4 linked regions of the Lonchura striata genome follow. The protein of the gene in region 1 interacts with the protein of each later gene in a pairwise test. Links are inferred from orthologs where the notes say so. Each region holds a gene or a part of one and is shown in the gene's direction. Other genes may lie near its edges. The genes, in order: TMEM79, RPRM, proteolipid protein 2 and TNMD.

The links.
Region 2: the proteins of TMEM79 (region 1) and RPRM interact in binary tests that used the Homo sapiens proteins (3 or more experiments, as listed by UniProt). The two-hybrid records come from large-scale screens. The link is inferred for Lonchura striata from reciprocal best matches to the Homo sapiens genes TMEM79 and RPRM.
Region 3: the proteins of TMEM79 (region 1) and proteolipid protein 2 interact in binary tests that used the Homo sapiens proteins (3 or more experiments, as listed by UniProt). The two-hybrid records come from large-scale screens. The link is inferred for Lonchura striata from reciprocal best matches to the Homo sapiens genes TMEM79 and PLP2.
Region 4: the proteins of TMEM79 (region 1) and TNMD interact in binary tests that used the Homo sapiens proteins (3 or more experiments, as listed by UniProt). The two-hybrid records come from large-scale screens. The link is inferred for Lonchura striata from reciprocal best matches to the Homo sapiens genes TMEM79 and TNMD.

What each region holds. Positions count from the first base shown.
Region 1 is NC_134635.1:1,095,339-1,103,433, reverse strand, and holds TMEM79 (transmembrane protein 79), read left to right. Parts: upstream 1-4,876; 5' UTR 4,877-4,971; intron 4,972-5,790; 5' UTR 5,791-5,894; coding exon 5,895-6,624; intron 6,625-6,831; coding exon 6,832-7,045; intron 7,046-7,269; coding exon 7,270-7,474; 3' UTR 7,475-7,779; downstream 7,780-8,095. Other genes in the region: nonsense-mediated mRNA decay factor SMG5, read right to left, coding at 3,852-3,928.
Region 2 is NC_134610.1:1,354,430-1,359,995, forward strand, and holds RPRM (protein reprimo), read left to right. Parts: upstream 1-3,893; 5' UTR 3,894-3,948; coding exon 3,949-4,371; 3' UTR 4,372-4,664; downstream 4,665-5,566. UniProt on the Homo sapiens protein: May be involved in the regulation of p53-dependent G2 arrest of the cell cycle. Seems to induce cell cycle arrest by inhibiting CDK1 activity and nuclear translocation of the CDC2 cyclin B1 complex.
Region 3 is NC_134638.1:2,178,781-2,186,707, forward strand, and holds the start of proteolipid protein 2, read left to right. Parts: upstream 1-4,720; 5' UTR 4,721-4,749; coding exon 4,750-4,836; intron 4,837-6,651; coding exon 6,652-6,804; intron 6,805-7,743; coding exon 7,744-7,839; intron 7,840-7,927. Other genes in the region: GPKOW (G-patch domain and KOW motifs-containing protein), read right to left, coding at 34-137, 254-774, 936-1,141. UniProt on the Homo sapiens protein: May play a role in cell differentiation in the intestinal epithelium.
Region 4 is NC_134616.1:929,631-937,639, reverse strand, and holds the start of TNMD (tenomodulin), read left to right. Parts: upstream 1-4,776; coding exon 4,777-4,824; intron 4,825-4,947; coding exon 4,948-5,082; intron 5,083-8,009. UniProt on the Homo sapiens protein: May be an angiogenesis inhibitor.

The sequences.
Region 1 (8,095 bases):
AGCTTCATACCCTCATAGCAGGAAAGAAGCAAGTAAAATACATTTTGGTTTACAGGTAACAGGCACTGAGTGTGCAGCATCCATGCAAGCTCATATTTGGGTTAGGACAACCCAAAAAGCCCCCAGTTTAGCTTCCCCACAACAGAACCCTACAAAGCACAGGCAATGCACCTCTCCTTACTACAGCCTCAGACTGCTGTCCTAGCTGTGGCTCTCAAAGTCCCTTCCAGCACACCAGGAGCTGACTGGCTTCCTCTACAAAGGGTGACCAGGGGAAAGAGGAACTGCTGGTTCATTTGATTCCCAGAGAGAACTACAATAGTTGATTCCTGACATAAGCAGTAAAGCAGCTGTAAAATAACATTCTGTGGGCAACAAATCTCAGCTGTGTGCATCTGAAACAAGCACACGTGTCCATAACAGCCAATGTGGAAAATGATCCCAGTGGCCTGCCAAATGAGAAGTACAAAAAAGTTTCCTTCTGGGGACAGAAGGACATCACCTTCCCATCAAGGTGGCCCAGAGGGTATCTGCCATACAACCTAATTTTATACAACAACCCATGGATGGGCACATGCACACACTTGGTATTTCTGCTGTTCTTTCAGTGTTTGTAAAGAAACAGAGTTTGTGACCAGAGAGCAGCAAGGCTGACACTAGGATGTGTGTCATGAAGCGTCACACTTCATCAGCCCTAAGGGAGGCCTCAGCTGAAACACTGCCTTCTGCACATCCACACAGGCCCTGTGGTGCTGCTGGAAGAGAAGAAGGCAGGAGTAAAGCAGAATGTGACAGCTGGTGATTCCCTGCCAGGATCCCACATCTGTGGTGCTGGGGAAAGAGGACTCAGTGAGGACAAAAGGGACAGGAGCCAGCCTCACTCCAGAAATGCTGGGAAACACCAACACAGCTGCTATGGGCCATGCTCTGCTGGAAATGCACTTTAGCATCTGTGCCCTCAATTGTCCAAGACCACAGGTTGAACTTTCCCTAGCAGTTAAGAACGGAAATCCTGTCCCAGGACCCACTTTTCTACCTGCTGTGTTTAAACATTGCTTTCAGACAGTATATTAGAGCCACAAAGGAGGCACATCAGATGCCAGTCTATTAAAAGAAACAAATACAGCACATGGTGCCAAGCAGGGTGGAAACAGGCTAATGCCAAGTCTTCTCGAGCCATATAGACACTGATCAGCCCCTTTTCCTCCGTGCAATTAACACTCTGGGACGGAGCAGGACAGCAGGGAGAATTATTTGTCCCCTCTGTTTATTTAGGACATCACTAAGAGCCACAGTATCTGAGGAGTAAGACATTATTAAGAGAAAAGACCTGCAAGTCTTTTAGCTGTGCTCTGGCATGTGTCAGTACACTTTCTGGAACAGGTTCCACAAAACAACAGCAACACTGAGTCCATGAGCTAATGGTTACCCAGAAAGCTGTAAAATAAACCTGGTCACCTTACGCTACAACAAGCATTGTAAAAGTGCACCCATTATAATGCAGTTGCCACATTTCAAGGTGAAACCTGGGAACTCTCAATCTAGGAAGACTTGGAAAAGATCAAAGAGTACCCTATGAGAAGCAATGGGCACCTTCCTCTCTGAAAGGACACTCTTGACAGCCAACATGCTGCCAAGGACCTTGGAGACCTGAGCTCAGCTCCCACAAGCTGACAACACGCTGATCCCATGGGATCACAGTTTAGAGCTGGGACTATGGCATTCACGCATCTGTGACTCAAAGGTGCCACTTAGTGGGACAGTCATGAGCTCTCAGACCACAGCCACCACACAACAGGCAGGAAACTCCCACTTCAGGCTGGAACAGATGAGAACTGACAGGAGACTGTGAAGGTGGGAACCTGCTCAGAGAACTGTCAGCTACAAGGATAGAAATTTGTGGCCACTGCAGGTACTATAAATCCTGCACTAAAATCACAATGCTTCCTCCCTGCTAAAGAAGAGCTGTCCCTGCAGGAGGAGGGTGCTTCTTTTTCTGCTGTAAGAACTCTCTAGAGCAACTACACGCCTTATTCTGCTACAAAAATTCAAACAGAAAACAACCCCTCCCTTGCAGGGATGACAATTCCTCATCTGGCCACAGGCCGTTCTCTTGCTGGCTGCAGCAGAACGTGAGGTTCCACTTGACAGATGAGCTGAGCAGCACCAGGAAAACAAAGCAAAACAGGTCTTGAACAACAACGAGGAGGGTTTCAACAAAGGCAGAAGCACACACATCCTGCACATCCTCTCCAGCCCTGTCCCACACTCCTTGGGCAGGGACAGTGCTCTGCTGCTCTAGCTCAGCCTCCAGCAGATGTGGTGGAGATCACTGAAGGTGCAGCAGACACAGAGCCCCACAGCCCGGGGTGCTCTGGGCAGGACTGTGCAGCCTATACCTCCATCACAAGGTAAAACCCTGCCCTGCTGTAGAGGTAGGCAGTGAGGTCCCACAAGGTGCAAGGACACAGCCAATGTCATCAAGACAAAAAGAAATGGACCCTCATGTAAAATTCATCTCTTGTCTCCATCATTTTGCTCATCTTTGAGACCCAGAGCTGCTGCTGGAACTCCTGTGGATCTGAGCCAGAAAGGAACAATTTCTGGGCTGCCCTCACAAAACAGATCAGGAGCAGAGGGGGCCTGAGCTCACCAAGGCCAGCAGGAGTGCCCCAGTCCTGTTCTCTGATGCCATTTCCAATGCATGGTGTAGAAATGTGGGACCAGAGTCCCAGGGAGTGCTTAACTGGAAAGATCTGCAGCTGGAGCTGTCTTGCCCTCCACACAATAGCAAAGTGTCCCAGCTCACACTCCTGCTCATCACACCCACTCCAGCACTTCTCACATAATCCCTGCATAGTACCAAAGCCAGGGACACCCTCTCCAACCCCTCTCTCTCTGGATGACCCCACATCTCACCCTTATCCCACTGTATCCCAACAACTCCTTTCCACTCAGCCCCCACCATTCTCTCTGAATCCCACTGAATCCCTTTTTCCACCTCCCCATGTCCTTACTCATTATCCTGGGTGTCCCCTTACCCCCTTCCTGGTCTCCCACCTATCTCCTTCCCCTATCTCTCCATTCTCCCATCTTACCTGGATCTCCCACAGCTCCTTCCCCCAGTCCCTTGGTCTGACTAATCTGCCCTGAAGCCACCAGACTCCTTTTCCCCAGTGGAACCCCTCCATGTGTTGCTTATCCCCTCTGGATCTCATACAACTCCCTTCCACACATTGCCTTTCCCTGGTCTTCCCTAAACCTCCTCCCTCTCCTCTCCCTTTGCACTGCATCCTTTCCCTGGATTTCCCCACAACTTCACTTCAGTCTTCCCTAAATTCCATAATCTCCTTTCCCCATCTTCTCTGAATAGCCCTCCAATTCCCTTCGCCCTCGTTCTCCCAGTCTCCCCCGGATTCCCCTGGATTCAGGAGCCCCCTCCCCACCCCGCTCCATCAATCCCTGCTGTTACCTCGATTCCACCATCTCCTTCCCCCCGAATCCTTCCCTGACAACTCCCTCATCTCCTTTCCTTCCATCTTCCCTATATCCCGCCACCTCCTTCACCCTGCTCCTCGCCAGGCTCGCCCAAGCTCCCCCGCCCCAATCCCCTTCGCTGCCGTCACCCCCAGTCCCCGCCGGACGCTGCCCAGCCCCATTCTCCCTCTGCTCTCCTCGGGCACCCCCAGTTACCCCCCGTCCCCCTGAGTAACCCCCCGACCGTCTCCACGCCGGCCCTCCCCAGCCTCACCGGGAGCCGCCCCGGCCCCTTCCCGACACCGGCTGCCCCCGGTGTCCGCCAGCCCGCTCCCCTTCTCGGCCACCGCATCCCCTCCGGCCCCTCTGCTCACCGGTACAGCCGCTTGGTGTGCAGCACCTTGGCCTCCGGCTCGCCGCTCTCGCCGGCGGCCCCGCCACCCTGGCTCATGGCGCCCGCGGCAGGCCCGGCCCGGCCCCGCGGCCCCTCAGCACCGCCCGCGCCGCCGCCGCCGCCGCCCCCGGGCCCGCTCGGCCGCCATGGCTGCCCCCTGGCCCTCACTGCTCTCGCGAGATTTCCCGCGGCCGCGCCGCGCCGGGCGGGCAGGGCGGCGGCGGGGGCGACCTGGTCTCGCGAGAGCCAGCTCGCGCGAGAGGCCCGCACTTAGTGCTGGCAACATGGCGGCGGCCGCCTCAGGCGGGCGGGCCCGGTGCCGGGGCGGGCGCGGTGCCGGGGCGGGCCCGGTGCCGGGGCGGGCCCGGTGCCGCCCGGTGCCCGGGTCGAGCGCTGCACCAGAGCACCCCGCCTGGCTGTGGGGTCGGGAGCGGGGGCGACGGCGCAGGAATTCCTCCCCGCGCTCTGGGATCCCGAGGGACTGGCCAGGCATCCCGGCGGGTCCTGTGGGGCCGCGGCTCCCGCAGTGGTGTCTTCATGCTGAACCTTCTCACCTTCTGTAAACGTAACTGTGCCGTCACGTAACTTCTGTAAGAAAAGTTGCTCAAAATAAAACGACTTTGTATTTCAAGCATTGTGTTAGGTTACGATACATAAATGTTCTTTAGGTGGGCGGTGATGTGTATTAGACGGGTTAATGTAAATTTTACTGTATAGAAGGTGTAACTTCGTGTTACCCTTGGTGCGCTTGATTTGTGGAAAGCTCCACCTCGCACCCTCGCAGAATGAGCAAGGGCTGACTTGTCCGTCCCCTTTTTAAACTCTCTGTGTGTTTAGAGAGCTCTTTAACTTGGCACGCCCCGAGCGGCCCACAGGGAGCCGGGGGTCCCCCGCCTGCCACGGGGGACAGCGCCGGGCTCGCCCCGTCCCCTCCGCCGAGCCCCCGGGGCCACGCCGGGCTGGGACGGGCGGAGCGCCCGCCCCTCCGCCCGCCCCACCTGAGCCGGTTCGGCAGGTTCGCGGCGCGGAGGCGCCGGGAGAGCGCTGGAATCCCGCAGGGTCCCGCAGAGCTGCCCCCATGGCCCCCCGCCCGAGCCCGAGTGAGTGCTGCCGCGAGGGGAGGCGCTGCCCGGGGGAAGCGGGGCTGGGGGCTGCCAGAGGGGCTGGGCTCCGGGACCGGGCGCTGGAGGCACGGGAAACCTGGGAAGCTGTTTCAGCCCTAGTTCCGTGTGTGGGTCGCGGAGGAAGCCCCAAGCGGCTCCGTGCCTCAGTTTCCCCACACCTGTGGCCAGGCCAAGTTCCTGAGGGTGCAGGGATCAATGTGCTGAGAGGAGCGAAGGAGAAACGTTCATTGCAGGAGGCAGGCAGGACACTGAGGACGGGCCAAGAGACAAGGTTTCCCTAAGGGTAACAACATGGAGCTCTGCCCGTACCTCCTGCACCCATGGAAGGGCACCCAGCAGCCACTTTTGTCCACCCCACATCAGTCTCAGCTACAAGAGGCAGCAAACCTGGCCCGTGCCCGCTGTAGCCATGGTTCTGGGAAGCAGCTAGGTCACCTCTCCCCAGGGCTTGGCTGGTCCTGGCCCGGGAGAGAGCCACCAAGGAGCCAGTTGTATCTGCTGGGTTGTGCCCAGCTAGAACCCCCAGGATGTTGAAGTTATTCCTAGGCAGCCCTGTTTTGCAGCCAGACCTACACCTCCAGAGTTCACCCCTCCCAGGACAGTACCTGACCCTGCTGCCAGGGGCCAGAGCACAGGGACACCAGGCACTGCTTTCCCCTCCTAGTGCAAGGACAGCCGGGTAGTGGGGGCTCCAGGGCTGCCAGTTTGCTCCCACTTTGTAACTGGTGCTGTGCATGTGACCCCAAACCTCTCATTTCTGATGTAAATTTATCTGTCTCCTTTCTCCTGGTCCAGGGTGAAAGCAGAAAGGACAGGAACTTTATCCCCTCTGAACACCACAAGTGCAGGCAGCAGTGTTACCAACCCCCATCCCTGGCAGTGTGGAGCTGGACACTCTCATGGCTGCTGCAGACCCTGTCCAGCCCCCTGAGGAGGTGGCTCTGCTGGAGCTGGGGAAGGTGGCCCTGGCCAAGGTGCCACCAGCCCCAGGTGAGCACCAGGGGGACCCTGATTCCACCCTGCCATGGGACCAGAGTCAGCACAATGCCTGGGGCCAGCCGGAGCTCGTGGAGACAAAGAGGCGCTCGAGTCCTGAGGGTGGCCATGAAGACCCAGAGGAAGCTGCTCCCACCTGCCCCACAGTCGAGGCTGAAGATGAGGAAGTGCCCCGGCTGCCCGTGATGGCGGCCCACGTCTTTGTGCCCATCGACCCGCAGTGCATCGAGCAGAGTCCCATCAAGCAGAAGCAGCACCCAACCCCATGGCCCCGGGAGGAGAGCAGGGGGGATGTTCCCCCCAGCGTCCCCCCCAGTGACAGACCCAGCAGCCTCCACCACAAGCAGGTCTTCCTCCCCGTTGGCCCCTCGCGCTGCCGGAACCCACTGGGCTTTGAGGGGCACATGGCCAAGCCCCCGGCTGAGGGGTCACGGTGCCCGTGTGCCAGGGACTGTGGCACTGATAATCTCAAGGCTGTGGCATCAGTGGCAGGAGCCCTTCTCCTCTGCCCTTGCCTCATCTATGGTGCCTACATCTTCTTGCCCTTCGATGCCCCACTGCTGCCCACCGTCAGCGCCCGCCTGGTCTACACATTGCGCTGTGCCACCTTTGCCACCTTCCCCATCGTGCTGGGTGAGCCATGGGCTTGGGTATGAGTGCTTTACTCCTGCTCTGGGCTACGTGAGCCTGGGGCTGCAGGAGCAGAGTGGGGCTGAGCTCTTTGTGGCTCTGTTGCTCCCACCAGGAGCAGCAAATGGAGATTTTCTCCCCTCCTGCTTCTACCCAAACCCCACCGTGGCTCCACTGGGCATCCACTGAGCCTCTCTCTCTGTCCCTCAGGAATAATCGTCAGTGGCATCTCCCGCCTCTGCTCCTCCGCCCTGGAGCCCTTTGGAGAGCTCCACCAGGAGGTGGAGATCCACCGCACTTACGTCTCCCAGTCTGTCCATCTCTTCATCCTCTACTTCTTCAACATGGCTGTGCTGGCCACCTACCTCCCACAGGAGCTCCTCAAGCTCATCCCACTGCTCACAGGGCTCTTCGCCATCTCCCGGTAAGTGGCTCCTTCACCCCAGGCTGCTGGCTCTGTCAGTGCCAGCCAGCACCGTGCCTTGGAGCAAACTCCCACTGTGGCAGCACCTTACGCAGCTCCCCAAAGCCAGGAAGGGTTCCTCTTCCTACGGCAGCCATGCCTGGGAAATCCCCACTGGTCAGAACCAGTGAGTGCCAGCCCCACAGCATCACCCTGGCTGAGCCCGCACCCTCTGCCTTCTCCAGGCTGATTTTCTGGATGTCCTACGCCATCGGCCGCTCCTTCCGTGCCTTTGGCTTCAGCATGACCTTCCTGCCGCTCCTGGCCATGCTGCTCTGGAACCTGTATGGCATGTTCATCCTGGAGCCCGAGAACCTCCTGTCCTTGGCAACGCCAACGCCCGAGGGCCACTCCAAGGAGAGCCGAGCTAAACTCCGGCACTGGGGCTGAGGGAGGCCAGGAGATGGGGCGCCTGCACCCTACGAGTCTGAGCCCTCCTTCATGCACTGCCTCAAGAGCCCTGACAGCACAGGGGTGCTGGCACATCCAGCTGGGCCCCCGCTCCCTGCCTGGACACAGGGAGGTTTTGCTGGGCCCACCGAGCCAGGCTACAAACCCTCTGCACCACGAGACTCCTGCTGCAGCTGAAGAAGGGCCAGAGCAGGACAATGCAAGCGCTCTTCCCTGGGAATGGGGTGGGATTTGCTTCCTCTCCTGCTGGAGCCAACTTTGCCCAATAAAGCCCTTAACAAGCAGCTCTGTGGCTGGTTTGCAGAGGGTGAGTTAAATTCCCCAAAGAATGACTCAGAGCTTTGCCTACAGGATGTAATCATCCAGCCTCAAAATTATGTTTCCAAGAGGGAAAAAATGTTTCTCTCAGACTGTTCCTCTCCCAGCCCTGCATCCCACTCCTGGGTCCCTGCATAGCCAGTCTCACCTTGTTTGTCCCTCCTCTTCCTCCTGGTGGAGGTTCAGCACCCAGTTCACTCAGCAGTTGGTTGGACAGGAGGGAGGAAGCCCTCCCCAGGGAGAAGCCAGGTTGGGTGACACAGCACCAGGTTTGCCATGGCC
Region 2 (5,566 bases), on another chromosome or scaffold:
TGGATCCCCATATCCCGATATCCCGGTGCCTGGATCCCGATATCCCATATCCCGGTGCCTGGATCCCGATATCCCATATCCCGGTGCCTGGATCCCAGTGTCCCGGTGCCTGGATCCCGATATCCCGATGTCTGGATGCCGGTATCCCGGTGCCTGGATCCCGATATCCCAGTGCCTGGATCCTGGTATCCCGGTGCCTGGATCCCGGTGTCCCAATATCCCGGTGTCCCGAGCGTCACTAGGTGTCACTCCTCTCCCGGCAATCCCGGCCCCGCTCCGCATTCCGGGATATGAGGCTGGAACAGGGCCGGGATGGGGGAACGGCAACGGGGAATGGGACCGGGATGTGTGGGACAGGAACCGGGAATGGGACCGGGATGGGGGGACAGGGAATGGGAATGGGACCGGGATGGGGGGACAGGGAATGGGAATGGGACCGGGATGGGGGGACCGGGAGGAGGGAACAGGAGCCTTCCTGCCTCCAATTGTTCCTCTCATAATTTAGGGATGGGACTTTTCCTGTCCTAATTTCGGGATGGGATCGTGCCTGCCATAACTTCAGGATGGGATTGTTCCTATCCATAATTTTGGGATGGGATTGTTCCTGCCCATAACCTGGGGATGGGATTGTTCTTGTCCATAATTTCAGGATGGAATTGTTCCTGCCATAACTTGGGGATGGGATTGTTCCTGTCCTAATTGAGGGATGGGATTGTTCCTATCCATAATTTCAGGATGGGATTGTCTTTGTCCATAATTTCGGGATGGGATTGTCCTTGTCCATAATTTCGGGATGGGACTGTTCCTGCCATAACCCGGGGATGGGATTGTTCCTATCCATAATTTCGGGATGGGATTGTCTTTGTCCATAATTTCGGGATGGGATTGTCCTTGTCCATAATTTCGGGATGGGACTGTTCCTGCCATAACCCGGGGATGGGATTGTTCCTATCCATAATTTCGGGATGGGATTGTCCTTGTCCATAATTTCGGGATGGGATTGTCCTTGTCCATAATTTCGGGATGGGACTGTTCCTGCCATAACCCGGGGATGGGATTGTTCCTATCCATAATTTCGGGATGGGATTGTCCTTGTCCATAATTTCGGGATGGGACTGTTCCTGCCATAACCCGGGGATGGGAAGCAATTCCCTGCGGAGTTGCCAAGGGCTGGAGGTGACGAGCCCAAGGACAGAGCTCGAGGCACGCGCCTGCTGGGCATGGAGAGAGCCACGCTCCCATCGGGAACGCTGCTCTTCCAGAAGCTCTTCCAGCTCTCCCTCCCTTGCAGGAGCTGCCAGGCCTCCCTTGGCTCCTCAGAGTCAATCCCATCTTCCCTTCCCGCAGGAAAACAGAACGTTCCCGCGGCCGCGGGAGCGGGGCCAGCACGGCAGGGACAGGACAGGGCCACGGGTGACATCCGCCACCCAGCTCATGGCAGAACCGTGAATGGCTTCTTGGAAAAGCCCCAAAACTGCCCCAGCGCTGAGTGCCCAGGGCCACCCCAAGTGCCACCCCAAGTGCCACCCCAAGTGTCACCACAAATGCCACCCCGTGTCACCCCAAGTGCCACCCCAAGTGTCTCCACAAATGCCACCCCAAGTGCCACCACAAGTGTCACCACAAATGCCACCCCAAGTGCCACCCCAAGTGCCACCCCAAGTGCCACCCCAAGTGCCACCCCAAGTGCCACCGCAGCAGGACGCAGCAGCTGGAAGGGCTTTGGCACACATCCTCCCTCCAGGCCTTGGCCTCTCCAGCGGGTTATTCCCGTGAGGAACATCCCAGGAAATCCCCAGGTGGCCCAGGACCACCTCACCCCCGTGGGAGGGATTGTCCCAGCCCCACTGATCCCACACGGATCCCACAGGGATCCCTGGGGCAGTTTGGGATGATCCCACAGGGATCCCTGGGGCAGTTTGGGATGATCCCACACTGATCCCTGTGGTAGTTTGGTATGATCCCAGGCAGATCCCTGCGGTAGTTTGGGATGATCCCACAGGGATCCCTGGGGCAGTTTGGGATGATCCCAGGAAGATCCCTGGGGCAGTTTGGGATGATCCCACACTGATCCCTGCGGTAGTTTGGGGTGATCCCATCCCACTCGGGAAGGACAGCGCAGGGTTAAGCTCCCAGCTCACGCTCTGCTCAGGAAATCTCCAAGTCATGGCCGGGCCGGAGCTGATCCCTGATCCCTGGCCGTGCCCATCTCCGGGAATCCGAAATCCCGGGATACTCCCCCAGCGCCCGGCCCTGCCCTCGGGAGCTGCCGCCACCCCCCAGCTCTTCCCAAAACCCCAAAACCAGCCGTGGGAAACTGGTCTGGAGCGGCCCCGGGCTGGGCGGAGGGGGACGAGAATTCCCAGCAATTCCAGGCGCCTGGGAGGGGTTTGGATCCCGGGGGTGCCCGGGCGGCTCGGCAGGGATGGGCAGTGGGCTCCGGGGGTCCCCGGGGTCCCACCCGGCTGTCGCCGCTCCCTCGGCACCGCCCCCGACCACGGGGAGGCTCCGAAACACGCGGAGCTGGATCTTCCATGGAAACAGAGCTGGGGGAATTTGGGGAACGGGGGCTCCACCACCCGAGCCCACCCACAGGGCCCCAAAGGGCTGCTCTGGCTCTTCCCGCAGTTCCCAGGACTGGCCCTGCATCCCTCAGCACGGAAACCTCCTCCAAAATGTGTTTTCCCAAAAAAAACCCCTCCCCGCTTCCCTGGGAGTGCACAGGCAGAAACCCAGGTGGGAAATCCCACTCCCACAAAATCTGATCTCTGCGAATTCCCCTAAAAACGCTCCGAAACGCCATTCCCCCAGAGCCACTTCCCAAAGCCCCCTCCCTCAGGAAATCCATCCCTGAGATCCGCTTGCCAAAACCCAGCACAAATCCCACGGGCAGAATTCCCGCTGGCCCGTTGCCCCCCATCCTCCTCCTCATCCCGCTCCAAACTTCTCCCATCAAAACCCATCCCCTAAACGCCCCTCACATCCCCCCGGCCCCATTCCAGCTCTGCCAGCCCCAATCCCATTCTCCTGATCCCCGAATCCTCCCTCCCAGCCCCTCCGCGCCCCACGGCCCCCCCCTGCTCCCCAAAGCCGCTCCCCTTCCCGACCCCTCCTCTGTCCCCCCAAACCCTTCCCTGACCCTTTCCCCTCCCTCCCACCTCTCTCCCTTCCCTTTCCGCTCCACCCCAAACCCTCCTCCTCCCTTCTTCCCCTTCCCCCAACCCCTCTCCCCTCCCTCCCCATCCAAACCCTCCCTCCCTCCATCCTAACCCCTCTCCCTTCCCTCACATTCCTCCCTCCTCATCTAAACCCTCCCTCCATTGCTCCCCTCCCTCCTCCCCCTCCCCTCCCCTCCCTCCCCTCCCTGCCCACCCAAACCCTCCCTCCCTCCATCCCAATCCCCTTCCCTCCCTCCCCTCCCACCCAAACCCTCCCTCCCTCCATCCAATCCCTCTCCATCCCTCCCTGCCCACCCAAACCCTCCCTCCCTCCATCCCAATCCCTCTCCATCCCTCCCTGCCCACCCAAACCCTCCCTCCCTCCATCCCAATCTCCTTCCCTCCCCTCCCTGCCCACCCAAACCCTCCCTCCTCCCATCCCTTCCCTTTCCCTCCCCTCCCTGCCCACCCAAACCCTCCCTCCCTCCCCTCCCCTCCCTTCCCTCCCTCCCCTCCCACCCAAACCCTCCCTCCCTCCATCCCTTCCCTCCCCTCCCCTCCCACCCAAACCCTCCCTCCCCTCCCCTCCCGGTCCCTCCCCGGCTGCCCGCGGGGCGGAGCGGAGCGGGCGGTGCCGGGCGGGCAGCGCGGAGCGGCCAGGCTGGGCTCGGCACGGCTCGGCACGGCTCCGCCCGGCCCGCCTGGGCTCGGCACGGCTCGGCACGGCTCCGCCCGGCCCGGCTCGGGCCGCCTGCATGCGGCGGCGGCGGCGGCGGGGCTGCCGGCAGGGATGAACGGCTCCGCGGCGGGGCTGCCGCCGGGGCTTCCAGCGGGGACGAGCGGCTCGCCGGGAGCCCCGGTGGCCCCGAGCGGCTCGCCGGGAGCCCCGGTGGCCCCGAACGGCTCCGCGGCGGCGGCGGGGCTGCTGGCGGGGGCCGGGGCCGCGGCGCTGGAGCTGGAGCGGGCGCTGCGCTGCTGCACCGCCGCCTCCGTGGTGAGCGACGGCAGCGGCGCGGGCGCGGACGAGCGCAGCGTGTACATCATGCGCGTGGTGCAGATCGCCGTCATGTGCGTGCTGGCCCTCACCGTGGTGTTCGGCATCTTCTTCCTCGGCTGCAACCTCCTCATCAAGTCCGAGGGCATGATCAACTTTCTGGTCAAGGAGCGCCGCCCGTCCAAGGAGGTGGAGGCGGTGGTGGTGGGGCCGTACTGACCGCCGGAGTGACCGGACTGACCGCCGGACTGACCGGAGTGACCGGAGTGACCGGACTGACCGCCGGACTGACCGGAGTGACCGGACTGACCGGACTGACCGCCCGCAGCCCTCCCGAGAACGCGCGGGCTCGGCTCGGAGCTTTTCCTCCTGAAAAACGCCAGGCATTCGGATGGATCCCGGGATGCCGGAGGTCGGGATTTGTTCAGGGTGGCCGCAGCCGCCCGGCCCGGCCCATCCCGGCCCGGTTCCGCCGCCCGCGGCTGCCGAAGTAAAGCGTGCTCTGATGGCAACAGGTCTGGGCTCCTTATTCCGTCCGCCTCCACCCTTTCCCCTTCCCTTTCCCCTTCCTTTTCCCTTCCCCTTTCCCCTTTCCCTTCCCTTTCCCTGCCGCCGCGAGTCCCGGGATGCGGCGGAGAGCAGCGGGCAGCGCCCGGGATGAAGCTTCCCCTGTCCCTCCCAGCCCGTCCCCGCGGGATTTCCCGTCCAGCCGGCCTAAATTTCCCCTTTTCCAGCGCTTTTCCAGCCTTTTCCCAGCGCTTTTCCGCCCCCCGCATCCCTGCGCGCCGGGAGATGCGGGAACTGCGCTCCTGCCCCTGGACCGCGGCTGTGGCCGGGGAAAACGCCCAGCCCAGCCCAGCCCAGCCCGGGGGATCCCCTGCCCGGGAATACAGCGGGATTTTGGCTCTGGGAAAGCACAAAATCCAGGATTTATTATCCCAGCTCCGAGCCGGACCAACAGGTGACTTGGCGCGGGCGCGGTGCAGGGAGGGAGAAGCCGCTGCTCCCACGGGATTTGGATGTCTCCCTCCATCCCCATTCCTCCGCAGGGATCTTCCCGGGGTGTTTTTCCCATTCCCAGCGGCTCCTGGATAAATCCGCGCCTCCCCAGCGGCTCCGGGAGCAGCGGGAGCTCCAGAGGCGCTTCCCGGGAATCCCGGCAGCGGGATGGGGTCGCAGAGGCTCCAACAACCTGCGGGGGGAAAATCGCTCTCCTGGCGCCCGGATTCCTGCCGGGAAATATCGATTGTGCGCGTTTTTAGTGCTGGAAGCTTTTGGAGCTTCCCGGTTTATCCCGGGGGTGGAGATGGCCGGGCTCCCGAAATTTAATGGACACCCCTAGGAGAGGTTATCGGGAGTTGAAACTGGGCATGGAGAAGGTGAAATCCATTTGCAGCTGGGCTGGAAGGGGTGG
Region 3 (7,927 bases), on another chromosome or scaffold:
TTGGGGGTCCCGGGGGGGTCCCGGGGGTCTCACCGGCTGCGGCCCCGTGCCCACGTCCCTGTCCCGCTGCCCCGGCAGGGGGATGGCCATGATGGGGCCGGGCTGGCCCGGGGGGGGCTCCTGGCTCTGCCGCGCCTCTGGGGGGGCAGGGGGGGTCAGGGGGGCTCAGGGGGACCCCAAACACCCCCGGGACCCCGCTGGGGGTCAGGGGGCTCAGGGGGACCCCAAACACCCCCGGGACCCCCAAACTCACCCTGCAGCAGCTCCTGCACCGCCTGAGCCTCCACCGAGGGGGGGGCGGCGCTGGGGGCGGGGCTTCTGTGGGGGGCGGGGCTTCTGTGGGGGGCGGGGCTTGGTCCACGGGCGGGGGCAGAACTGGGGGCGGGGCCTGCGCTGGGGGCGGGGCTTATTCCATGGATGGGGTCAGCGCTGTGGGCGGGGCTTCTGATGGGGGCGGGGCTTGATCCATGGGCGGGGTCAGAACTATGGGCGGGGCCTGTACAAGGGGCGGGGTCAGATCTGGGGGCGGGGTCTGTCCCGTGGGCGGTGCCGGTTCCGTGGGCGGGGTCAGTCCCGTGGGCGGTTCCGGTGCCGGTTCCGGGGGCGGTGCCGGTTCCGTGGGTGGGATCAGTCCCGTGGGCGGTTCCGGTGCCGGTTCCGGGGGCGGGGTCGGTCCCGGTGCCGGTTGTCCCGGTGGTCCCGGGGTTCCAGCGGCGGCGGGCCGGGATCAGCGGGATCACCAGCTCCTGCTTGGGGGGCGGGGCCGGCCGCGTGCTGGGGGCGGGGACACGGCCTTAGCCACGCCCACTCAGAGGCAACCCCGGGCGGAAACCACGCCCCCTCGTCTTAGCCCCGCCCAACCCGCCGCACGCGGTGACCGCGTGCCCATTCATAACTCACCAAGCCCCGCCCCCGCCGGCTCCAGCCCCGCCCACCTGAGCAGCTCGCGGCCCTCCACGGCCGTCAGGAAGTCGGTGTCGCTCTCGGTGTCACCGCCCGCGCCGGGCTCCGCGCACGGTCCCGCGGGCAGCGGCCGCCGCCGCTCCGCCCTGCGGCTGAAGGAGAAGGACACCGGCCCCTGTCCCGGCCCCGGCCCCGGCCCCGGTCCTGGCGCCTCGGCCGCGCCATCGCCCGCCGCCATCTTCCGCCGCGGGGCCCTGTGGGAGAGAGCGCGACGATCCAGCCGGACTACAACTCCCAGCAGCCTCCGCGCCGCCCCGCGGGCTTTGCGGCCGCTGATTGGCGGAGCGCCCGCCTATCCGGTGTCGGCGGCGCGGCCCGTCCCGCCCCCTCCCGCGCGCTGCGGCCGCTGATTGGCGGAGCCGCCCGTCGCTCAGCCCCCGCCGCCGCGGCTCGCGCCCGCCGGCCTCGCGCGCGTTGCCGGAGAGACCCCGCGGGGGTACCGGGGGGCGGGGAACGGGAACGGCGGCAAACTGGGGGAACTGGGAGCACTGGGAGACAAACTGGGGGAACTGGGAGCCAAACTGGGAGCACTGGGAGCACTGGGAGCCAAACTGGGGGAACTGGGAGCCAAACTGGGAGCACTGGGAGAGAACTGGGAGCACTGGGAGCCAAACTGGGAGCACTGGGAGGGAACTGGGAACATTGGAGTGAATTGGGAGCACTGGGGCGTGTTACTGGTGGTTACTGGGAGCACTGGGGAGTGTTACTGGTGGTTAATGGGAGCACTGGGGAGTGTTACTGGTGGTTACTGGTCCATACTGGTGTGCAACTGGTCTGTACTGGTGTGTAGTGGTTTGTACTGGGGGGGCTGTGAGGCTCTGCTGCTGCTGCGCCGTCCCCAGGGTGAGACCCCCCCACCTCGGACCCCCCAAAATCCCCTCGGGGCCCCCAGAGACCCCCCCAAAACACGGCTGCACAATCACCCCCCTGCCAGCACAGTGGTACAGCCCACGGCCCCCCAAAAGACACTGCTATACTCCTGTGCCCCCCAAAATCGAGTGGTACAGTCCAAAGCCCCCAAAAACACAGTGGTGTATTCCAGTGCCCCCCCAAACCAAGTGGTACAGCCCAGAGCCCCCCAAACCACAGGGGTGTACACCAATGCTCCCCAAAATCGAGTGGTACACTCCACTGCCCCCCAAAACACAGCTGCACAAATCACCCCCCTGTCAGCACAGTGGTACAGCCCACGGCCCCCCAAAACACACCAGTGCCCCCCCCAAACAAATGGTACAGCCCACGGCCCCCCAAAACACATCAGTGCCCCCCCAAAACAAATGGTACAGCCCACGGCCTTTCAAAACACACCGATGCCCCCCCAAACCGAGTGGTACAGCCGAGACCCCCCCAAAACACGGCTGCACAATCACCCCCCTGCCAGCACAGTGGTACAGCCCACGGACCCCCAAACACACCGGTGCCCCCCCAAATCCAGTGGTACAGCCCAGAGCCCCCCAAACTCGGTAAGACGCCCCATTGCCTCCCCCCCCCCCCCACGGCAGAGTGGTACAGCCCAGAGCCCCCAAGCCCCAGCCTGGCTGGGGAGGGGGACGGGGGAGGGGCGGAAGGAGGATGGGGGAGGGGGACGGGGCGGAAGGGGGATGGGGGAGGGGTCCCCGCCCCGCCCCCCTCCCTTCCCCCCCCGGGGGTCGCACGGAGGTGTCCCCCCCCCCCGTCCCGGTTTTTGGGGTGCTCAGTAAAGGCGGGGAGCCCCCCCCGGTTCCTGCGCGGGGCGCTGCCCACATCCGCTGAGTCAGCCCAAAACCGAGAGCGGCTCCGGGGGCAGCGGCCTCGGGGACCCCAAACCCCTCAGAGACCCCCCAAATCCCCGGACCCCCCCCAAAATCCGGGACCCCCCCCAAAATCCGGGACCCCCCCAAATCCCCGGACCCCACCCAAAATCCGGGACCCCCACCCAAATCCCGGGACCCTCGATCCAAAATCCGGGACCCCGCCAAATCCCGGCGACCACCCCGTTCAAACCCCGAGACCCCCCCAAATCCCGAGACCCCACCCAAAATCCGGGGACCCCCCCCCAAAATTCGGGACCCCCCAAGCCCCGCCCCTCGGGGTCCCCTTCCCGCCACCCTCAGGGGCCGCCCCCGCGGCAGGCCACGCCCACCGCCAATCGCGAGGGATTCCCCGCTCCAAGCCCCGCCCCCCGGGACCCCCGACCCAATCATCGCAGGGGAGTCCCCGCTCCAAGCCCCGCCCCCCCGGACCCCCGACCCAATCATCGCTGGGGATTCCCCGCTCCAAGCCCCGCCCCCCGGGACCCCCGACCCAATCATCGCAGGGGAGTCCCCGCTCCAAGCCCCGCCCCCCGGGACCCCCGACCCAATCATCGCAGGGGATTCCCCGCTCCAAGCCCCGCCCCCCGGGACCCCCGACCCAATCATCGCAGGGGATTCCCCGCTCCAAGCCCCGCCCCCCGGGACCCCCGACCCAATCATCGCAGGGGATTCCCCGCTCCAAGCCCCGCCCCCCGGGACCCCCGACCCAATCATCGCAGGGGATTCCCCGCTCCAAGCCCCGCCCCCGGGACCCCCGACCCAATCATCGCAGGGGATTCCCCGCTCCAAGCCCCGCCCCCCGGGACCCCCGACCCAATCATCGCAGGGGAGTCCCCGCTCCAAGCCCCGCCCCCCCGGACCCCCGACCCAATCATCGCTGGGGATTCCCCGCTCCAAGCCCCGCCCCCCGGGACCCCCGACCCAATCATCGCAGGGGAGTCCCCGCTCCAAGCCCCGCCCCCCGGGACCCCCGACCCAATCATCGCAGGGGATTCCCCGCTCCAAGCCCCGCCCCCCGGGACCCCCGACCCAATCATCGCAGGGGATTCCCCGCTCCAAGCCCCGCCCCCCGGGACCCCCGACCCAATCATCGCTGGGGATTCCCCGCTCCAAGCCCCGCCCCCCGGGACCCCCGACCCAATCATCGCAGGGGATTTCCCGCTCCAAGCCCCGCCCCCCCGGACCCCCGACCCAATCATCGCTGGGGATTCCCCGCTCCAAGCCCCGCCCCCCGGGACCCCCGACCCAATCATCGCAGGGGATTCCCCGCTCCAAGCCCCGCCCCCCGGACCCCCGACCCAATCATCGCAGGGGATTCCCCGCTCCAAGTCCCGCCCCCCGGGACCCCCGACCCAATCATCGCTGGGGATTTCCCGCTCCAAGCCCCGCCCCCCGGACCCCCGACCCAATCATCGCAGGGGAGTCCCCGCTCCAAGCCCCGCCCCCCGGACCCCCGACCCAATCATCGCAGGGGATTTCCCGCTCCAAGCCCCGCCCCCCGGACCCCCGACCCAATCATCGCAGGGGAGTCCCCGCTCCAAGCCCCGCCCCCCGGGACCCCCGACCCAATCATCGCTGGGGATTCCCCGCTCCAAGCCCCGCCCCCCGGGACCCCCGACCCAATCATCGCAGGGGATTTCCCGCTCCAAGCCCCGCCCCCCGGGACCCCCGACCCAATCATCGCAGGGGATTCCCTGCTCCAAGCCCCGCCCCCCGGGACCCCTCGCCGGGGTTTCCCCCCTCCCCTAACCGCCCGGTCACGTGACGGCGCGCGCCGCCCGCGGCCCCGCCCCCCCGCGCTCCCCTCGCCCATCCCTAATTGGGGTTTCCCCCGCCGCCAGGCCCCGCCCACCCGCGCCCCGCCAGCCAATGGCGTGCCGGCGCGCGCCGCCAGGCCCCGCCCCCGCGCCGTGCCAGCTCCTCGGGGCGCCCCCCCCGCTCCCCCCTCAGCTCCGCCACCGCCGCCGCCCGTTCGGTGCCGCCCGGTCCCGCCATGGAGTCCAGCGGGCCCCAGAGCTGCCCCGGCAACTGCCTCGCCTTCAGCCGCACCCACAAGGGGCTGGTGCTCATCGGCGAGATCGTGAGCCGCGGGGGGCGCCGGGGGACGGGGGCTCCGGGGCACCGCGGGGGCGGGATACCCTCGGCGGGGCCACACCGGGACACGCGCGGGCCCCGCGTGGGGCGGGGCACAGCGCGGTGGCCCGGTCCCGGTGTGCGGGGGGCAGGATGACTCGGTGCCCCGCTCCTTTGGGCTGGGGGGGACACGCCTGGCCGCTCGTTCGGGGCCGGGAGGATGCGCGAGTCCCGGCTCGGGACCGGGACAGGATGTCCGGGATCACCGGTTTTGGGGGGGGGATGCAGCAGGATACCTGGCTCCCCATTTTTGGGGGGCGCCCCCACACGTGCGGTCCCCTATTTGTGGGGAGGGCGGGATCCCAGTTTTGGGCGTCAGGAGAACGCCTGGCTCCGTGCTTTGGAAGGGATCGGGGACACCGCCGCACCGGCTCCCCGTTCCGGGGGGTCCCCATCCCGGGAGGGTCCCCATTCCGGGAGGGTCCCCATCCTCGGGGTATCCCCATCCTCGGGGTGTCCCCATCCTCGGGGTGTCCCCATCCCGGTGGGGATGCCCGGCTGTCGGAGCGCTCGGGCCGACCCGTGGAGCGAGGGACCCGGGTCTCGGGCGGGGGGGACACCCCCGCAGAGCGTCCCCGGTGCCGTGGGGCGCGGCGGGGACCCGCTCCCCCCGCGCCTCCCGCTCCCGTTTCGGGCGCGTGGAGGGGCAACGCCCTTGGGAAACGGGGGTGGGGCGGGGCAGGTGAGAAAGGGCGGGGCCGGAGGGCCCCGGGTTGAAAGCGGGGAGGGAGCCCGGACGTGCCCGGTGCCCGCCCGGGGGGAAGGGGCGGTTGGGGCGGAGCCCGGCCCGCCGTTCCAGCCGTTATTGCGCCAGCCCGGGCGGCGCCCGCCGGGAGCGGCCCCTTTAAGAGCCCCTGGCGGGCCCCACCCACGCCGTCGCCCCTTGAAGGGCGGGGGGGGGGCGCTGTTGTGCCGTTGCCATGGCGGCCGTTACCGGGAGACGGCCCCGCCCCGCCGCCCCCGCGGGCGGGGCCGAACCGGGGAACCGCGGCCGCCCGCAGGGGGCGCTCGGACACCCATGGGTGACCCCGCATGGGGGCGCTATGGGGGCTATAGGTGACACCACAGGGGGGCGCTATGGGGGCTATAGGTGACCCCGCATGGGAGCGCTATGGGGGCTATAGGTGACACCACAGGGGGGCGCTATGGGGGCTATAGGTGACCCCACATAGGGGCGCTATGGGGGCTATAGGTGACACCACAGGGGGGCGCTATGGGGGCTATAGGTGACACCACAGGGGGGCGCTATGGGGGCTATAGGTGACCCCGCATGGGGGCGCTATGGGGTCTATAGGTGACCCCTCAGTGCCCAATGGGGGACCATAAGGGCAGGGCACATTTTGGGGTCTCTATGGGGTCCATAGGGGCTCAGGGAGCCCAGGTGGAGCACACAGGGCCCATAGGGCACAATGCACAGATCCCATAGGGCTGGGGCACACTGTGGGGGCTCAGAGATAACCCGGGGAGCACACAGGGCCCATAGGGCACAATGCACAGATCCCATAGGGCTGGGGCACACTGTGGGGGCTCAGAGATAACCCGGGGAGCACACAGGGCCCATAGGGCACAATGCACAGATCCCATAGGGCTGGGGCACACACTGTGGGGTCTCTGTGGGGGTCAGAGATAACACAGGGCCCATCGGGCACGCCGCACGCATCCCCCACGTGCCGTGCCCGTCCCGCGGGGTCCCTCTGGGGTCTCGGCGGGTCCGTGGGGCTCGGGGCTGCCCCTATGGATGCCATAGGCGCCGTGCCCGCAGGTGCTGTGCGCGCTGACCCTGGCGTGCTTCGGGGCGTCGCGCTCGGGCTACGCGGGGCTGGCGGCGCTGGAGCTGCTCTTCGCCGCGCTGGTGCTGCTGGCCTGGAGCTGCCGCCTGCCGCCCCGGCTCTCCCTCATCTACTGGGGCTGGAGCGTGAGCGCTGGGGAGCGGCTGGGGAGGGGCTGGGGGGGCTGGGGAGGGGCTGGGGGGGACTGGGGAGGGGCTGGGAGGGGTTTGGGGGGGCTGGGGAGGGGCTGGGGGGGACTGGGGAGGGGCTGGGAGGGGTTTGGGGGGCTGGGGAGGGGCTGGGGAGGGGTTTGGGGGGCTGGGGAGGGGCTGGGGGGGGTTTGGGGGGACTGGGGAGGGGGATTACTGGGGGTTTGGGGGGCTGGGGAGGGGCTGGGGAGGGGTTTGGGGGGGCTGGGGAGGGGGATTACTGGGGGTTTGGGGGCCAATTGGGGGGGATTACAGGGGGTTTGAGAATTGGGGGGCTGGGGAGGGGTTTGGGGGGGATTACAAGGGTTTTGAGGAGCATTGGGGGTCTGGGGAAGGATTTGGGGGGATTATGGGGGGGATTACAGGGGGTTTGAGGAGAACTGGGGGGGCACTGGGGGGATTGCAGGGGGTTGGAGCAGCACTGGGGGGCCGTGGATGGGTTTGGGGGGATTACGGGGGGTTTGAGGAGAATTGGGGGCACTACCGGGGGTTTGAGGAACATTGGGGGCTGTGGATGGGTTTGGGGGGGATTACGGGGAGTTTGAGGATAATTTGGGGGCTATGGATGGTTTTGGGGGGCATTTGGGGGGGTTTGAGGAGCTCTGGGGTGCTGTGGAGGGGTTTGGGGGGATTACGGTGGGTTTGAGGAGCATTGGGGGGCTGTGGAGGGGTTTGGGGGGATTACGGGGGGTTTGAGGAGCATTGGGGGGCTGTGGAGGGGTTTGGGGGGCTCTGGGAGGGTTGGGGGGCCCTGCAGTGCCTGAGCTGCAGAGCATCCCTGGGAACTGGGGGTCCCCAGAGAGTCTGGGGGTTCCTGGGGGGGTCCCTAGAAAGTTTGGGGGGTCTCTCTGAGGGGTCCCATCTGTGCCCCCCCAGGACTTCATGCGCTGCCTCATCGGGGCTCTGCTCTTCCTCATCACCTCCCTCATCGTCATCATCGACCACCACGACGGCGCCGGCATCGCGGGAGGGGTGAGGAGGAATTCGGGGGGCTGAACCCCCCCATGGGTGCTGGGGCTCCTGACCAGGGGTAGGGAGAGGGTTTGGGGGTGCAGGGGGA
Region 4 (8,009 bases), on another chromosome or scaffold:
AGGAGAGGAGCAGCCATTCCCCGAGCCTGCCAGCAGTCTGGTAACACCGGTGGGTGCACTGCAGAGGGACACAGGCGGCACAGCTGAGGGTGGAGGGAAAAGCCCCTTGGAGCAGGGCTGCAGCACTTCAGCACTTCAGGACGTGCTCGGGGCTGAGGCACAAAAACAGCACAGCAAGAGGCATTTTCCCTACAGAGAGCTCTCCCAGCAGCAGGCAAGTTCGAGGGCTGCACTGGAGGTGGGCACAGTGGGGTCCCTCGGGTGCTGCAGCTCTGTGTTGCTCCTTGGCCCCAGCCAGGAGCAGCTGCCACCCCTGCCAGCAGTGAGAGCTGCCTGGCACCATGTGCCACAGTAAATGATATGATTTACTCACTACCTGTGGAATTGCCCAATTAATTCACTATCCACATTAATATTATGGCTCATTTTTAACTTTACTGTCTCCATCGTTCCAATTTAGTGCTGCTCAGAGATGCTGCCACTGACCTTAATGAGTTTTTCATTATAACAAAGAGCACGATATTAATCACGAGGGGCTTTCAGCTGGAGGTTGCTGCCCAAACCCCACTGCTTTGAGGAGCTGCTTTTTAGTGGTTTGGGGACCTATTTTATTTCTGCCAGGCTGCTCAGCCCCGCTCACACCGTGTGCAATCCTTTGCGCTGTCCAGGAGGAATTTCTCGCTATAACATTTCCAGGCACAGAGATTTTATGCAGCAGTCAAGCTACGCTGCAGATATGATAGATTTTTCTGGGCAAATTGGAACACAGAGTAGAAAACTGAAAGGATGCACCAGTCATAGCCAATGAGCCTCTTATTGTCCTGTATAAAAATCAAATGCCTTTTAATCATTTCAAATGTTCTTCTGGGTATCAATTAGTCACACATTAATATCAGTATTGCTTCTCTTCCTCAGTTCACATCAGATTAAATTCTCCCCTGTCATATACACTCGCTCTCATTAGCTTCATGGAAAATTAGTAATTGTTCCCTCTCCATTGGCATTGATGGGAGATTTTCATCAGAACTGCTTTTATACAGAGAACCTGCTTATCATCTTAAGGATACTAAGAGATTTTCCCCCAAAATTATTGTCTTTTCATAAAAATACTTTTTTTTTTTTTTTCTCTGAAACCCTGAAGTCTGAGCCAGAGCACTGGGGAATGGGTGAAAAAAACCCCACCATTTTTTATGAGTGTCATCCTGCAGTTTCTGCCCCTGTCTGCATCCCAACCATGTGTCTCCTGTCAGGATCCAGTGTCTGTAACACGGCCACAGGGGCTGAGGGGGGACCCCAGGGGTTGCAGAGGGGTTTGCTGCTCTCAAAGCCCCGATCCAGGCTGGCTGTTCACTCTGGGGGAGCAGCAGTGTGGAGGGCTGGGATCCTGCCCCTGCCCTCCGTGGGGCAGCCCGCTCTGTGCTGAGCGTGCCCGTGGGTGTGTGAGCAGTGCCCGTGGGTGTGTGAGCAGTGCCCGTGGGTGTGCCAGCAGTGCCCATGGGTGCACGAGCACTGCCCGTGGGTGTGTGAGCAGTGCCCGTGGGTGTAGGAGCAGTGCCCGTGGGTGTGTGAGCAGTGCCCGTGGGTGTGCCAGCAGTGCCCGTGGGTGTGTGAGCAGTGCCCGTGGGTGTGCCAGTGGTGCCCGTGGGTGTGTGAGCAGTGCCCGTGGGTGTAGGAGCAGTGCCCGTGGGTGTGTGAGCAGTGCCCGTGGGTGTGCCAGTGGTGCCCGTGGGTGTGTGAGCAGTGCCCGTGGATGTAGGAGCAGTGCCCGTGGGTGTGGGAGCAGTGCCCGTGGGTGTGTGAGCACTGCCCATGGGTGCACGAGCAGTGCCCGTGGGTGTGTGAGCAGTGCCCGTGGGTGTGCCAGCAGTGCCCGTGGGTGTGCCAGCAGTGCCCGTGGGTGTGCCAGCACTGCCCGTGGGTGTGCCAGTGGTGCCCGTGGGTGCACGAGCAGTGCCCGTGGGTGTGTGAGCACTGCCCATGGGTGCACGAGCACTGCCCGTGGGTGTGGGAGCACTGCCCATGGGTGTGCCAGCAGTGCCCGTGGGTGTGGGAGCGGTGCCCGTGGGTGCACGAGCACTGCCCGTGGGTGCATGAGCAGTGCCCATGGGTGCACAAGCACTGCCCGTGGTTGCATGAGCAGTGCCCATGGGTGTGTGAGCACTGCCCGTGGGTGTGCCAGCAGTGTCCGTGGGTGTGTGAGCAGTGCCCGTGGGTGCACGAGCAGTGCCCGTGGGTGTGGGAGCGGTGCCCATGGGTGTGTGAGCACTGCCCGTGGGTGCACGAGCAGTGCCCGTGGGTGCATGAGCAGTGCCCATGGGTGTGTGAGCACTGCCCGTGGGTGCACGAGCAGTGCCCGTGGGTGCATGAGCAGTGCCCATGGGTGTGTGAGCACTGCCCATGGGTGCACGAGCAGTGCCCATGGGTGTGTGAGCAGTGCCCGTGGGTGTGTGAGCACTGCCCATGGGTGTGTGAGCAGTGCCCGTGGGTGCACGAGCAGTGCCCGTGGGTGTGGGAGCGGTGCCCGTGCCCACCCCGCTGCTCCTCCAGGCAGCAGTGCCCATCTGCAGCACCAGCAGGGCTCCAGCCCAGCCCTGGGTCCCCCACCACCCACCCTGGCCTCTCCATCCCAGCTCTGCCGGCGCTGGAAGGGGCCTGTGATATTTATTGAGTTTTATGAACTCCAGCCCTGGGAGCTTCTCACCTCTTGCAGCTATTTCAGACACCCGACTCCTGATGGAGTTACAGTGATTGCCATTAAAAAGCTTGACATTTACCTTACAACAGTAATAAAATAATAATGCCTAATTTGGTTTATGAGTGGTATTTGCAGTGTTTCCTGTGCCTTGAGTGGGGGATATGGTGAAGATCTGCTGATCAATTATGTCTGCTTAGCAGCACTGCTGTAATTCTTTCCTGTAATCAGAACCATCTTTCAGTAGAGCTGCTCCAAAGTTTTCCTCTGAAACTCTAATTTTGACAAGAAAAGAGAATGTTTTCAAATACTTGAGTTTCCAGTGAATAACAAAAGCTTCTGAGATGGAACTTTCTGGTGGGAAGTGGAGACAGACAAACGTGGTGTCTGCACAGATTTGCTGCATTTAGATTTACAAAACCCCTCAGGATGTTTTCAAAGGCTGCCTATGATTGCTTTCCCTTAAAAAGAGCTTTTTTTCTCCTCCAAATGACCTTGTCAGTAGGATTCTGTTATTGCCATCCCAAATTTGAACCCCCCACCACTGTGTTTTACTGCCCTGGACTGCTGAGGGGCTGTGGGGTGAGGATTCCCTGCTGCTCTGGGGCCAGGAGCCCAAACCCTTTGCAGGGAGCAGATGCACACCAGGGCACACCCCCAGCACACATGTGTGCACAGTGCTCTCCCCAGGCTATTCAGAATCTCCACTTCTGACCCCTGGTTGCAGGCAGCAACATCCCAATGCTCACAAAGCCAGTGCCAGACCTGCTAAAAGCAATTTCTTTCTCCATTTCTCATCCTGAGCAAAATTCGATGTGGATTTTCTTTTTTCAGTGCAATTTTAATTAGTGCATGATGCACTTTGGGTTTTTATTAGAGTAAACAGCTTGGAAAAAAAGTCCATGCCAGCTCTTCTACACCAGGGAGTCTCATCCTGTTCAGACCAGAAACCTCACGCTGGATTTCTGAAAGCCTTTCTTAAGATGGGTTCATTTCCATGAAGAAACGCTACGACTTCAACAAATGGAAATTTTTGAACATAGAAAAAAAAAGGAAAAAAAAAATTAGTCAGGAAATTCCTGGCTAGGCTGACTTTGGGGTAAGGCTGTGCATGAGAGGGAGAGCTGAGGGCTCCCCACACACACACGGGCTGCACAGGAGGGCACGCATGGCCACATACAGCCTGCTCACCTGTGTGCACACATGGAATACACCTGTGTGCACACACCACATATCTGTGTTCACACATCACACTCACCTGTGTGCACACATCACACACACCTGTGTGCACACACCACATATCTGTGTGCACACATCACACTCACCTGTGTGCACACATTGCACTCACCTGTGTGCACACATCACACTCACCTGTGTGCACACATCCAATACACCTGTGTGTACACATCAAATACACCTATGTGCACACATTGCATTCATCTATGTGCACATATCACAACACCTGTGTGCACACATTGCACTCACCTGTGTGCACACATCACACTCACCTGTGTGCACACATTGTGCTCACCTGTGTGTACACACATGTGGCCTGCCATGCCCATGTCCCCTGCCATGTCTGTGCCCCTGCCACATCTGTGTCTCCTGCCATGCCCATATTCCCCTGCCATGCCCATATTCCCCTTGCCATGCCCATGTCCCTGCAATGCCCATGTCCCTGCCATGCCCATGTCCCTGCCATGCCCATGTCCCCTGCCATGCAGGGACCCCAGTGGCAGCTCCGGGGCTGTTCCCACACACACATGAACACCGCAGCAGTGTCCCTGTCCCCGGGCTCATGGGGCACCGGCAGTGTGGGCACCTCCAGCCATTGGCACGTGGGCCCCAGCGCAGGGCAGAAGCAGAGAGCGAAGGAGAGCGGCCCTGGCCGCGTGTGACAGCCACCACACTGGGCTCCGCGTCCAGCGGCGTGGGAACGGCGGGGCCGTGGGGCCAGCAGCTGTGGCACAGCTGGCTGTCCCTCCGTGGGGGTGGCCGTGGCCCAGCCTTCCCACCGCGTGTGCAGCCAGAGCGTCTGTAACTCCACCTCGGAGCGGGCTGGCTCCTCGCACACGGAGGAGACCATGGGAGGCTCGGCTCGGCGCAGCCCGGAGGACTGCCGCTTTCTGGACGTGAGTGCACGGCTTGCCTTGCCCCCTGCATGCCTGCGGTGCCAGAAACGGCTGAGACGTGGTGCCCTCGTCCTGCCGGGAGCCCCGGGCACAGCCTGGCTAGCGCTGCTTTGTCATCAATAGGCAGAGGCAGCCAAGCCTCCGAAGAAGAGCTGCCCCAGGTACCAGCTCTGTGGACTGCTCTTCAGCGTGCTGCTCCTTTCCCTTATTCTGATATTTTTTGGTGTCAAATACCTCTGGAACCCAGCACCCAGAAAAGTAAGTAAAACCCCTTTGATCCGGTATTTCAGAGCGTTGCTTCCCCAGACAGAGCTGTCCCCCTCCCCTTGACTCGCTGAAACTTTTAACAACTCTCCAAAACCCAGGCAACTTCACAAAATGCATTTTCTCAGACCACAGGTATTCATGGGACTTTTAAAAATCTTTGTATTATTCATAACTAGCTTTTACTTTATGCAGGCTGGTTTTTTTCCCCTGTCACTGCTTTCTTTCCCCAGTTGACAATTACAGGGGATGGGAGCTACGCCACGAAGAGTTAAAGTTTCTCTTACTTCACCGGCAGCAAATTTTATGACAAGTAAGAAAATATTTTCCATTTCATTTCAATTATCTTGCCAGAAACCGGTGGAAAAGTCATTATGCCACCGCATAAAGAGGAGAGAAAGCCAGGACGCAGTGGTGATTGATTGTCATGGATTATATTTCTTACTTTAATGTGTCTGCAATGTGAGGGACGGTGAGACGGATTAGCTTCTGGAGGAGCTGCTGCTAACTGGATTGGGCTCCTTTATTGCCAGCTGCAGACGGACGCTGCTGTGGTGCCGGGGCGGCAGCAGGGCTGTGCATCCCCAGCCGTCCCTGCCCGCTGCCACCCGCCATCCTGGCAGTGCTGCCAAAGCCCTTCTTTATCCCACGCCCCAAGCAAATCCTTTAACCTTGAAACCCACAGCCTGCCTGCTGCCCCTCATCCTCCTTTCCTTCGAATTTCCATGCTCATCCAGGAGGCCCCGCTCTGCACCCCATCTCCAGTGGGTTTTGCTGGCTCTTGAGAACATCTCCAAAATTCCTGTGCACAGCCAAGGCAGCCTCTTTCCCACACTGGCATCTCCAATGTGCTCCCTGCACTGTCCTGGAGCTGCTCCAGCCTGGCCAGGCCGCCCTCCTGCCGGGCAGAGGAAGCATCCTGCTCGCTGGAAACTTTATCTTCTTATCAGCAAATAGAAATAAATACCCCCTGAAATAAAAGGAAAAACAATAAAAGCCATATGCTCCTCCAGAATCCTGCCAAGACGATTATAAAGTCTCTACTGTTCCTAGAAAAACAGGGGTGATGCCAGCCATGAGGGGAAGAGGCTGTTAACCCCTGGAGGGGCGGTTTGCTCCAAGCAGAGACAATGCCACAGCCTCAGGAAGGACATCCAGAGCCCCGGCCCACGGTGTGCTCACCGGTGGAGGACGGGGTCCATGCAGCACTCCCCAACACCTGATGGGCAGGCAAGTGGGGTGTGAGGCCACGAGAAAGGAGAGCTGTTCCTGCAGCAGAGCTGCACACAGACACTCCCCGAGCCCAGCACTGCCCTGTCCCTGTCCCTGTGGGGCTTCTCCAGCTGGCCCGGGAGTCCTCAGGACAAACAGGCTGGGGGGGCTGGAAGTTGGTAACACTCAAAAATATCAGCCAAGAGGAATTAAACTCTTTAAAGAAGATGAAACCCTTCAAGCTTCCTTCATGTAACTGGAGAGTGGAAAAAAACTTGAAAGAAGGTTGTTCCTCCGAGGGGTGGCCTTGGACACGGCTCTGCCCTCTGCACAGCAGCCTCCTCACCAGCCAGCACAGCTGATGATTCAGCTAACGAGGGGTTCATCACAGCCTTGCAGAGGGCCATAATTCAACCATTCACCAGCAAGTGTCATTTTTAGCCCTATAAAACATCTCATAGCGCTGTGAGCAGCGCAGAGCTGGCAAAGCCCAAGTGGGTTAGCTGGCCGCTGTGCTGGCCAGAGTAATTCTTTGTACTTGAAGGTAAGGTGCCACCCGGGATCCTGCCCTCCTTGAGATGATTTATGGCACTGGGTGCATTTTGTCAGTCAAAACCAGCCGCCTTTCACCCATTTTAGGCTTCAGACTGTTTTACCGTATCATAAAATCCATGGAGAGCTGTATATCTCTACAAAGTCTTCCTGCAGACCGACAGGAGGTGTCCGTGCCTGCCCAGGCGCACATCACTCCTCTAACCTTTGAGAAGGGGTGTGAATGTTCCCATCACTCCCATCTGCACAGGCAGTTCTGCAGCCAAAGGAGATACCAATGCTGGAACACTGCTAAGAGGCTTTGAACCCCAAGGGGAGGGATGTGCAGGAACCCGGGCACTGTGAAAGGGGTTTGGGCTGGCACTAAGGGCAGAGCTCCTGCCCCACACCAGTGGGCCAGCACGCTCCTGCTCTGGTTCCACGGCCATGCCGTGGGATGAGCAGGGCTCTCCCATCCCCGTGCCTCCATCCCTGCCTGGTGAACTGGAGGGGATTTGCACGAGCCCTTCTCTTCCACGCAGTTCCGTTCGGGAAGCGAGGCTCCCCAGGGCCCGCCAGCAGGATCGTTTTTGTGCTTCAAATAGCATCTGCCGCTGCTCATCCATCCCGCAAGGGTCAGGCATGCAGAGAGCGAGGCTGCCCTGCCAGCGGGAGCGCCGGCTGCTCCCCGGGGACCCGCGCCGCCGGGAAGCGCTGCCAAAGCCGGAGCTCTGCAGCAGCCTCCAGGAGGTCTTTGATCCGCAGGCAATCCTTGATCTCCTCCAGGCAGAGAGAGGCTCATCCTCTGCCTTTCAGGAAAAACAGAAGGCACAGAGCTGGAGCGAGTAAGCTGGGCAGGACACGGGGGAGCAGGTGAGCCGGGACACCGTGATGGAGCAAAGGAGCCAGGGATGCAGTGTGGAACAGCAGGCCAGGGAGAAGGCAGAATGAAGTGCCTGTGGGCTCGGGGCTTCAGTCCAGCCTGGATGTCACCAGGCTCATGCCACAGAAAGCACCAGCGAAGGCTGAGCTGGGCAAAGCTCCTGCTGCAGGTGTAGGAGGTGCATCTCCTCCCAGGTTTGACACACATCCCAGACTTGATGCTCAGTCCCTCATCCTGGCTGCAGCCTGCCCTTTCACCAGCCCAGGCTCCCCCTGGGAGCTGCCTCCCCTCGTGC